Mus musculus: one gene and its partners. The protein of the gene in region 3 interacts with the protein of the main gene of each other region in a pairwise test. Links are inferred from orthologs where the notes say so. Each region holds a gene or a part of one and is shown on either strand. Other genes may lie near its edges. The genes, in order: Larp6, Synj2 and Itsn2.

Region 1 (3,649 bases), on a different chromosome or scaffold from region 3:
AACACATCCAAATATGTGTTTCTGTAGAGAATCTCAATCCATTCAGGTTGACAATTATGGTTAGTCACCCCATAGAGTTCCTGACGACCTTATAAAGTTCTGGAGGCTGCACAAAGCCAAACCCCCTTGTTTATTTTTTAAAATTTATTTTAGTTTATGTGTGTGTTAGTGTATGTATATGTACCATGGGCATGCAGTTCCCTCAAAGTCCAGAAGAGGGCGTCAGATCCCCTGCAACTGGAGTTACAGACTATTGGGAGCCATCATGTGGGTGCTGGGAATTAAATTCAAGTCCCCTACAAGAGCAACTAGTGCTAGTAACCACTGGGCCATCTCTCTAGTCCCCTTGTTCCTTTTCTGGGCTGATACCTGAAAACCATCATAAAGATCACAAACACAGACCTGGAGTGCCCAGGGAGTGGTTCTTAGGAGATCTGGCTCTTGCCTCTGTGTGTTCTCCAGTCCTCTATAGCCCTCCCCGGTCCTTACCCTTCCCAGTAAGGCACCAGAGGCTTCCTGCTCCGATTCCAGCCATCTCCTGCATGCTCCTTTCTGAGCCGTGCAGGAAAGGTGTGGCTCTGTCATATCAGGCCATGGTTTTCCAACAAACCGTGTGGTTTACAGTGACCAAAATTCATCTCAACCCCTTCTGTATTTTTGGCTAGCTGACTGTTCACTAGAAATCCAACCATCTACCCAGGCCTGTTTCTCTGTATCATAGTGATTAGTCCTATCACTCTGTGTAGGTGTCCTGGGGTTTCTTCATGCTAAGAATGAGAGGCCAAGACTAGAATGGGCAGAGCACACACTCCCAGCAGTGTGTCAGGACTCTGGGCTCTTTGGATGTTTCCCTGACCTGCCTGGGTAGCAGGCTTTCCCATCTTGCTTTCTGTGCCTTTTCTGTTTGAGGCCTGGGCACACTGGGGGTTCCTGGCTCCTCTGCAGATCAGTCTCATGGGCCCAGCCTCAGAGGACTCTGGGTGATTTTCCCTTGCAGGCTCAGGTTACCCACCCCACCCATATCTAGTAGTTCTTGAGATGACTCATGTCCCTGGCACATCCTTCACTGGAAGTGGGCCTCCGCAAAATTGCCGTTTTATAAAATAAATATAGCTTTTCATATACTGCAGTGTCTGTTTGCAGTTTCCATCATGGGAGGGGATTTTTAAAAATTTATTTATTTTATGTATATGTGTACACTGTTACTGTCTTCAGACACATCAGAAGAGGGCATCAGATCCCATTACAGATGGTTGTGAGCCACCATGTGGTTGCTGGGAATTGAACTCAGGACCTCTGGAAGAGCAGCCAGTGCTCTTAACCGCTGAGCTATCTCTCCAGCCCCTCTTCATGTGGTGTCTGTGCCTGTGACTCTTGGGAGAGATTACAGAGAAACGGAGGGTCCTTGGAAGGCTCCTCTTTGCTGTGAATCACAGCAGTGGAGAATGTGAGATCCTCTAACTCCTTCCTTAGTAGTAGCACATTCAGTGGTGACACTCTACAGTCTCTGCCTTTGGAGGCCTAGACTGGAGAGATCATGAGTTTGAGTCCAGCCTGGACTATAGAGCAAAAGCCTATCTCAAAACAAAATGAACAAAACCAAAAACAACAAACAAACAAACAAAAATCTGGACTGGGGTTGTAGCTCATGGAAGACTGCTTGCCTGATATTCTACATTCTGTCCTCGGGTCTGCCCCAAATTCACTGTGACATATACATTTGCAACAGTGATAGCACAATGTTATTGAGTATTCTATATTTTTTTGCACATACACCACACACACACACACACACACACACACACACACACACTGCACTTATGTAGTAGCTAGAGATCAAGCTTAAGCATTTCTCAGAAGCCCACCATCTTGGTTCTTTTGAGCGGAGTCCCTCCCTGGCCTAGAACTAGCCAAGTAGTCAAGGCTGGCTGGCCAGAATGCCTGTCTCTGCTTCCCCATTGCTGAGATTACAGGCACAAGCCATCCTGCCTGGCTTCTTCACATGGGGTCTGGGGGTTGAACTGGAGGTCCTTGTGCATGTGTGACAAGCACTTTTCCGACTGAGCCACCTCCCCAAACCCTCGCTACATCTTGTTGCAGTGCTATGAAGTAGACAGGTTCAATAGTTCTAGCACCCAGACAAGGCTGGGTTCTGAGAGACTAAATAATTATCCAAGTCTTCCTGGGGGATGGAGGTGACACTTGGGTCTATGCACTTAACAGCCTACTTTTAGAGCAGAAGTTCTCAACCTGTGGGTCATGACCCCTTTGGGGATCGCATATCAGACATCCTACATATCAGATACTCACATTATGATTCATAGCAGTAGCAAAATTATAGTTATGAAGTAGCCATGAAATAATTTTATAGTTGGGGACTTACCACAACACGAGGAACTGTATGTACTAAAGGGTCTCACATTAGGAAGGCTGAGAACCACTGTTTTAGGACTACAGAATCTGACCCGTGAACTTGGGCAGAGTTTGAGGCTGTAGCTCATTGGTAGAGTGCTTACCTTCTGTGCACGATGCCCTAGGTTAATTCCCAGTGCTGTCAAAATGTACAAATAAAACAAAACAAACAAACAAAAAAGAGGCAAAGATGTTTACCATCTGAAGAGAAACCAAGGCTATTGTTCCTATTGTTTTAGTCTCTCTAACAAAGACTTGGAATCAACCCAGGTTGTCCATCAACAGATGAATGGATAATGAAAGATCATATATGCATGAAATTTATGAAATATATAATATATCCTATATATACCATATGTGTATGTGACTACTACTCAGCTCTACAGAGAAATGTAATCACAAAATCTGCAGGAAAATGGATGGACTTAGAATGCATAATGCTCAGTGAAGTCACATGATCTCAGAAAGCAAAGCACTTTCTCATATGCAGAACCTAGCCAATAGCATATGTGTATATGTAAACAAATGCACGTGTGAGTGCAGGATAATGTGTAGAAAAGAGAGCGAGAAGAGCTGAGTGTTAGGAGGAGGAGAGACTGAGGTGCAGGTGACGGGCATGCATTAGAGAGAGAATCTAAAATCTTTCCAGTACTAACTCTGTTGTGGATTGTTTTCATTTTGGGTGATGGGTAACTGCATAAAATTCAATTGATATTGAAGCTGGAAGACTCAGTGTGAAACGTCACAGCTTCAGAATGGCTATTCTAGCTCTTCACTGAGATACATAGACTTGGGATCTGGCTAATTTCAGTTTGTAATTCTTTTTGCAATCTTCATAATAAAGTTTACGTTAAAGAACTTTAAGGAAAGAAAGCATTGAAGAAGTGGTTGGAGAAATTTTTCATTTCATTCTCTGTCTGGTATTTGAGTGTCTTCCACACCAGGGATGAGCTTAGTCATCAGTGCTGAAGAGGTGAGGAAGGGAGGGAGGGAGGGAGGGAGGATACTGCGTGTTCAAGTGTGGACAAGGAGAGGAGATACCATTCAGATCTGCTTTGTGTTCCTCAGGTGAAACACCTCACCCGGGACTGGAGGACCACAGCACACGCCTTGAAGTATTCAGTCACCCTGGAGTTGAACGAGGACCACCGGAAGGTTAGGAGGACCACCCCTGTGCCACTGTTCCCCAATGAGAACCTCCCCAGCAAGATGCTGCTGGTCTATGACCTACACCTGT
Region 2 (4,318 bases), on a different chromosome or scaffold from region 3:
TGTTTGGATACAGAAAAGGGAAGGTGGTTGAGGGTGACTTTGTTTCTATAAAGAATAAAATTTTGCCTGTCTCTGCCTCCCTAGTGCTAGGATTAAAGGTGCCGGCCACCCTGCCCAGCCGAGTTTGCTACACTTAATGTTACACGACTTGCATGGGGTGGTGATCTCTCCACTGTATAAAGAAGCTGTGGAGAACCAACCTCCGAAAGCCATGCGCCACTCTTGGTCTTAGCACAGCAGAATGGGGCGGGCGGGCGGCAGAGGAACCCAGCTGTTAGGGTGGCCTGCTGGAAACTTGCGGGTGAGGACCTCTAGAGGCATCACACTAGGAAAGGATGCTCCAAACGCGCCCAAAGGTGCTTCCAGTTCGACCTGGCTGCGTTCTCCCTTGGCTAGCAGACCAATCCTGACCAACCCGACCCAAGGACCAAGAGGCCTTGCCTCGAGTTGCTTGAAGGTTGCAGATCACAGAATACTCATCAATGCTGAGCAAGAACAGGCACTGAGATCCTCAGGTGGGGGTTCCTCACCTGTCACTCTGATAGGCGAGGCCATGTGCATCTCAGCGAGGTCAAGGTCATGTGGTAAAGGGGATAGCAGGGAATAGATGTCTCATCTCTCGGACACAACGCAACACCAGTTTGGGTCGCACAGTGAATTAAAGTCTTCGGTAGAAGGCAGCATTTAAAGAGTGTGTCAGGCACACACACACACACACACACACACACACACACACACACACACCACTCACAAGAACATACTCAATCACCACGGTAGTTTCAGAGTGAAGGCCACTTTGCGTTTCTGCAGTTCCATTCAGGGAGACTGAGGCACAGAACCCAATGGCCCCATCCGGGGTCTCAGGCGTGGGGGTGGGGTGGGCGTGGGAAGAAGTGCTGCGCCGGACAAGCGGTGGCGGCAGGGGTGGGGTGGGGGGTTGCCAGCCCTGCTCAGCCCTCAGCCCCCAGCTACCCATATAAGGCCGCGGGAATCCGGGCAGGGTCCGGGCTCCTGAGGCTCTCCGCGGCTGCAGCCTCCTCCGCGGCGAGGAATGTGTGGAATCTCCTTCGCCCGCAGCCGCCCCCAGCAGGGAGGACCGTCCCGGAGTACTGAGCCCTGGCGAGCTCAAGCCCACCGGGCGCAGTCTGGGTTCCCGCTGTGGCTCGCAGGTGCCTGCCTCGCCGCTTGGGGGAGCGCGGTCGTCGTCGGAGAGGCTGGGCGGCAGCGCCACCTCACCTGCTCGGGGCAGTGCGGCGGGGCCCGGGCGGAGGAGGAGGAGGGAGGGAGGGAGGGGGAGGAGGGGGTGGAGGAGAAAGGAGGAGGAGGAGGAGGCTGTCGTGGTGTTAGGGGAGGAGGAGGAGGAGGAGGAGGAGGAGGAGGAGGAGGAGGAGGAGGAGGAGGAGGAGGAGGAGGAGGAGGAGGAGGAGGAGGAGGAGGAGGAGGAGCCGTGGGCACTGGAGCCCGGCACAAAGTGAAACTCCTGGTAGCCGCACACCCTCGGGCGGGACCTGGTCCCCGCTCTCCTCTGCTCCCCGCGCCCATGGCTCTAAGCAAAGGGCTGCGGCTGCTGGCGCGGCTGGACCCCACTGGCCCGAGCAGCGTGCTGTTGGAGGCGCGGGGCCGCGGCGACTGCCTGCTCTTCGAGGCCGGCGCAGTGGCCACGCTGGGTGAGTGCCGCGCTCCCCGTGCTCCCCACTTGGGCAGCAACGCCGGGGAGGGAGGGAGGGCGGGAATTAGTGAAGGCGAGCGACTTCGCGGAGACCTGAGAACTAGGGGCGCTCGGTTCCCCGACAGGGAGGACCCCGGCGGCTTGGGGATGGCCAGGGGCGCTTGTCCGCGGGAGTACTGGGTGCGGGGGACACCAGAGAGCTGGCACATTTGGCTGGACTAAGCGTCGCGCTCGCCTGAGGGCGGGGATGTCTCGGGGGCGCTCTTCCTGGGGCTTGGGTGGCAGGCGTCTGTTCTTGGAGAGCCAACTGGCTCTGATTTCCGCTCCTGGTGCTCAGTGCCGAAACCTAGCATGTTCTGGACACTCTGAGGAGGGTGCCCTGAGGAGGAGTCCACCTAGTGCTCCCATGCTTGTGCACCTGTTGAATACACCAAAGCAGCATTGCCTTGCCTGAAGGGATGACACGTAGGCACCAAAACAGACTTTGAGAAACGTCGATGGCACCCTTCATTTGTCTCCTATAAATACTCCATCAGAAGCAGGAGTAGAAGCAAATATACTCTCTAGTGACTTTATCTTTATGCTGGGTGTTAGGTGAGGGCAAGCCATTGTATTTCATTGATTGACTTCAGAAATTGTGAGATCAGCATTGTGCTAAGGACTTTAGAGACAAAATCTTACACAACCTTTGCAGTTTTAGCTCGTAATAAAGATAAACAAACTGGGGCCTAAAGAGGCTAAGACACTTGCTCCAGGCAACACAGACTTGTGTGTGGCTATTTTGGTGATGTCATGCGGTGCATGCCTTCCTGGTAAGTCCAACTTCCGGATCCCTAGTTTTGTAATTGACATTTGCAAGAAGATCTAGGTAGCATAAAGCCAGCAGTCAGATAGGATCAGTAAGATTTTAATGATGAGCCTTGAAGGGCAGGTTTAAGACAGTGGGTGTCCAGTTGTCCATCCTCCTGGTGTTCCTAGCTAAACAGGATCACTTATATTTTAGGAGGTAAGAAATGCAAAGCACTCATTTGTAAAGTGTTTTATGACTCCTTTTCTCAGGTTTGGATGTGTCAGCTCAAGCTACGACATCCACATATTTGTGCGTACATACACCATGTCTTAAAGGGGGTGCATCAATTTCTACTTCCTGGACCATGCCATTAATGTGTAATTTATCAAGCTGGGTGTGGTGGAATACAGCCCACGTTCTGGCTATGCAAGGCGGGAGGATCAATGGGAAGATGGATTAAGCCCCAGAGTTTCATACCAGATTGGACAACCTAACCAGACCTCAAAACATGCTGGCCAAATACAGACACAGAAAAGGGAAACAGCAAATATCTGGCTTGCTGTCAGTCACTTGATTAGGGAAGGAGGATTCTGTGTCAAAAGTAGACAGTCGTGGAATAATTATCACATTATTGCAGTTGGAGTTCTGTCCTGAAAAGTCCAAACTTGGTCATTTGTTGCAGCCTTGAAAGAAAACCATGGAAATTTCCACTCCATTTTAGTCATTTACTCCATAACACATTTCTCAGAACCCAAAGATTAAATTTCATGATACAAAGTTACTGTGACTTCAAAGAGGTTAGAATGCCTCTCAGCAATGCCAAGCCATATTTATACCCCAGTGAGAGTGGTTTTGAAGCCACTTGGAACAGGTGTCTCCCATCAGGCAGTTGAGTTTGGGCCACTATGTGTTTACATGGTAGCAATGATGCAGTACTTTGGATTACAGCAGAAGTTGTCATGAAAAGAACTGTCACGTTCTAACCCTCCTCTCCTGTTCTACACTTCTATCTCCCACCTAACTGTCTGCTTTCAGTAGACCACTGGATGGATTACTTGCAGTTTTGGGTTTGTTTTCCATGGTCAACAAAATGAAACTTTTTATTTCTTTTTTTTTTTTTTTAAAGAAATTGTAGCCCTTGCTGATAATGCTGAGAGAGGATTACAAGAGAGCCTTTGTTACTAGAAAGGAAAGTCATTGCTTTGTACTTTTAAAACATCCTAAATGCCTCATTGTTGGGTGGAATAACTCTGAACTTGAAATCGCCACCTCTTCCCAGCGCCAGATAGCCGAGTTACTTTCTTTTCCTTGACCTTTCTTTTTCCCCAAGAAATAAAGCTGGCCGGGGCCTAGCAAACACAGAAGTGGATGATCACAGTCAGTTATTGGATGGGTCACACGGCCCCTAATGGAGGAGCTAGAGAAATTACCCAAGGAGCTAAAGGGAACTGCAACCCTATAGGTGGAACAACAATATGAATTAACCAGTACCCGGGAGCTCTTGTCTTTAACTGCATATGTATCAAAAGATGGCCTAGTCGGCCATCACTGCAAAGAGAGGCCCATTGGACTTGCAAACTTTATATGTCCCAGTACAGGGGAACGCCAGGGCCAAAAAGGGGGAGTGGGTGGGTAGGGGATTGGGGGGGTGGGTATGGGGGACCTTTGGGATAGCATTGAAAATGTAAATGAGGAAAATACCTAATTAAAAAAAAAAAAGAAAATATCCATATGTTATGCTTAAGAATGAAAAATACTAATATTGTGTTAGTAATACCACTTGTGTGCCTGAGAAGCATAAATTTAAATATAAAAGCACTGGCTTTGAAAAAAAAAAAAAGAAAGAAAGAAAGAAAGCC
Region 3 (3,649 bases):
AAAGCATCTCTCAGAAAGATTAGACTTAATCTTGTAAGCTTTGAAGTGAATGAAAACCCCAAACCACATGTGTGGTAATGGTAGCAATTAGCCTTGACTCTCCTTGAGAGAAAGCACATTTTCTCTGCTTGCCTTTTTCATGACTCACTAATTTTTTTCTTATAAAGGACAACATTTAATTGGGGCTGGCTTACAGGTTCAGAGATTCAGTCCATTGACATCAAGGAGGGAGCATGGCAGCATCCAGGCAGGCATGGTGCAGGAGAAGCTGAGAGTTCTACATCTCCATCCAAAGGCAGCTCTTGGAAGATTGACTTCCAGGCAGTTAGTATAGGGTCTTAAAGCCCACACCTACAGTGACACACCTACTCAAACAAGACCACAACTCCAAATAGTGCCATTCCTTGGGCCAAGCATATACAAACCATCACATTCTATTCCCTGGCTCCTATAGGCGTGTTCAAACATATGAGTGTTTGGTGGCCATACTTAAACATAGCATAATGCAAAATAAATTTAGTCCAACTCCCAAAGTCCCCACCATGGCTCACTCTTTATGCTTTAACTCACATGTCTATAGGACATTTCAGTTCAGTTTAGAATATTATATAAACTTACAGAGGAGGATAATGTGTTATATGGTCATATACAAGATGTATATTTGTAATAGGCAAGTATGTTGCATCTCCTAACTTTCACATTCCCACAGCATACATAGGGCAAAGTGATTGATGGATAAAGGAAAAGGGGTCAGGAAAGACTTGGAGATTTCTGTCTGGAGTCATGCTGAGGACAGTGATGCAAGTTATAGAGAAGAGAGAGCAATTTGGAGTGAAAATTGGAGAGAGGAACACGATAGACACAGGATTCTTTTCTTTTGAGATGCCCGTGAAACATAGTTTGGTTGGACATAGGAGTATGAATATGGAGGTGCGGTTTGGGCTGCAGGCGCAGGGCATCAGGCTTTAGATGCTTGTTGAAAACAGAGAGAAAGCATGTTCAGGAGTCACAGGAGGAACTGCAGCCTCTATAGATCACGTAGGAAGAGAGAAGTGAAGAGTGTGAGGGAAGGGGTGTTGGGGGGAGGTCACGGCTGGAGAGCCTTTCTTCTCCATGCCTGGCCTGAGACTTGCCCTTGCTCTCAGAGCTGAGTGGAGCTTTCCTGCTGGAGGACCGTGGAGCAACACTCCCTCCTCACTAGCTCTAGGCTCTGCTGTCTGGAGCAGGACTGTGATCACTGCAGAAAGCCCACTACCTGGCCCCTGGTACAAACAATGATGGCAAATGTTCCGAGAAAGCTGCAACATTGTCTGCATGACTTAACAGAGACTAAAGTCGTTTCTTTTTATGCCTTTCTCACTCCATCAGGTTTTCAAGCTAGAAATGCCCTTCTTCAGTCAAATCTCTCTCAAACTCAGCTAGCTACTATTTGGTGAGTGTGCTCATCAGTGACTTCAAACTATACATCGTCTCTTATAAGAAATCTTTGTGGAAGATTGTTTCTGAAAGATCAAACATAAAATCATTGTTTCTGTAAAAATTTGTTACTTGAGAATATTCCATGAAAGTGTTTGAAAGTTACATTAACTAGGGAAGTGTCCATTTTTGAGAGCTTAACCTTGATTTTATAAGCAACAGTGTAGCTTTCTTCTTTATTGACTTACTTTGCAATCCAGAGATTATCTCATTTATTCCAGTGAATTGAACATGAACTATGATAGCCAACCTTCCCAGAATAGGCATTTGCTATGATGAGTCACTCTCTTCTGTTTGTTTTGGGCTATGGAGATTAAGGGTAAAAATTGACTCTTTTTTGGGTATGTGTTTACATTTTCCTAAAATATATTAACCTAGAATTTATCCTCTCATTACTCATAAAAATAAAAGTCAGTAAAAACTCTGACTTTGTGAACGGTCACATTGCCTTTAGGACTCTGGCTGACATCGATGGTGACGGACAGTTGAAAGCTGAAGAATTTATTCTGGCGATGCACCTCACTGACATGGCCAAAGCTGGACAGCCACTACCACTGACGTTGCCTCCCGAGCTTGTCCCTCCATCTTTCAGGTCTGTGTCTGCAGAGCCATGGCCCGCATCACCCCGGTGTTGTTCCTGCCTCACTGGAGCCCATGCATCGGTTTAGAGGAGAGCTACATACTTGCTCTGTCCTTTAGTTAATGAGTCACGATGGGAAGTAGATAACAGAAAGGGTTTTTTCACCATGCTATAAAAGAGGAAAAGTTTAACTGAGAAGATTAAGTAAGGCTTGCCCAGGAACAGCAGTTAGCTGAGTCTGGGTCTCTGGTTAACATCCAAGAGCTTTGTGCTTTGTAACTGAGGGCCATGCTGCAGTGTAAATAGCCTTAATGCTGTACCTTAAATACGAACTTGTTTTAATTGCTGATAATCTGTATTTTTTAGTCTGAAAATTCTCAGACTGTGATGGCTCTTTGTTGTTTGTTCTTCTTAGAGGGGGAAAGCAAGTTGATTCTGTTAATGGAACTCTGCCTTCATATCAGAAAACACAAGAAGAAGAGCCTCAGAAGAAACTGCCAGGTATTAATTTTACACTTTTAATTAATTTATTTTAAAATCAAAATCAGTTGTATTTTCTTTAAATTTTATTTTTGAAATACAAACACATATTTAGAGTATTTATAGATTTAAAAATTAGATGCCACATGAAAATAGGGAATGAATAAGATTTGTGTGCATGTGTGTCTATGTGTGTATTACTGGGGATTGAACCCATAGACCTATGTAACATCACCAGCTCACTGGGATATCTTAACTGATTTATACATTTTAATGAAGAGTAAAACTGAAAATGATGAAGGAAGAGGGAGCATGTATATGTTTGGAAAATTAGCATTTCTTCCACACTAGGGAGAGGCAGATCAAGCTTTGTAATGAAATCTTTAGCTTGAAAAAAGTTTTAAATATTCACTTAAAGAATGCACACATGATTATTTTATTTAGAAGTTAGTGCAAAGACTAGGGTTATAGCTCAACAGTAGAATGTTTAGCCAGTACTAAGTTTGCTCTCCAGCACTGCAAACCAAACCAAACCAAACCAAACCCCACCTTCTTCAGAGCTAATGACATGTAACAGATGGCACACAACCTCTGAGAAAAGTAAGTCAGGGTTTGTATTGGCTTGGATAGTCAGTGTTTGAATAGAATCAAATGTAGAAAATTGCAGGGTTTTAAGTGAATACTTTTACTTTCCTATTTACATTTGAGTATAGAAGTATCCGCAGGGGAAATAGCCAGAGAGCAAGAGCAGAAGCCGTCGCAAGTGACTACTAAGCAGAGTGTATTGAACTAGATGAGAGGCTCTGTAGGCTTGAGAGAAAGCATAGTCTCTCTCTCTCTCTCTCTCTCCCTCCCTCTCTCCCTCTCTCTCCTTCTCTCCCTCTCTCCCTCTCCTCCTCTCTCTCTCTCCTCCCTCCCTCCCTCCCTCCCTCCCTCCCTCCCTCCCTCCCTCCCTCCCTCCCTCCCTCCCTCCCTCCTTTTGTCTCCTTTTAGTTACTTTTGAGGACAAACGGAAAGCCAACTATGAACGAGGAAACATGGAGCTGGAGAAGCGACGCCAAGTGTTGATGGAGCAGCAGCAGAGGGAGGCTGAACGCAAAGCCCAGAAAGAGA

The links.
Region 1: the proteins of Itsn2 (region 3) and Larp6 interact in a two-hybrid assay, tested with the Homo sapiens proteins (2 studies listed by BioGRID, with this or other methods). The link is inferred for Mus musculus from reciprocal best matches to the Homo sapiens genes ITSN2 and LARP6.
Region 2: the proteins of Itsn2 (region 3) and Synj2 interact in a two-hybrid assay, tested with the Homo sapiens proteins (2 studies listed by BioGRID and IntAct). The link is inferred for Mus musculus from reciprocal best matches to the Homo sapiens genes ITSN2 and SYNJ2.

The regions. Positions count from the first base shown.
Region 1 is NC_000075.6:60,733,510-60,737,158, forward strand, and holds part of Larp6 (la-related protein 6), read left to right. Parts: intron 1-3,480; coding exon 3,481-3,649. UniProt on the Homo sapiens protein: Regulates the coordinated translation of type I collagen alpha-1 and alpha-2 mRNAs, CO1A1 and CO1A2. Stabilizes mRNAs through high-affinity binding of a stem-loop structure in their 5' UTR.
Region 2 is NC_000083.6:5,939,911-5,944,228, forward strand, and holds the start of Synj2 (synaptojanin-2), read left to right. Parts: upstream 1-1,369; 5' UTR 1,370-1,540; coding exon 1,541-1,667; intron 1,668-4,318. UniProt on the Homo sapiens protein: Inositol 5-phosphatase which may be involved in distinct membrane trafficking and signal transduction pathways. May mediate the inhibitory effect of Rac1 on endocytosis.
Region 3 is NC_000078.6:4,631,006-4,634,654, forward strand, and holds part of Itsn2 (intersectin-2), read left to right. Parts: intron 1-1,368; coding exon 1,369-1,432; intron 1,433-1,930; coding exon 1,931-2,068; intron 2,069-2,471; coding exon 2,472-2,557; intron 2,558-3,529; coding exon 3,530-3,649.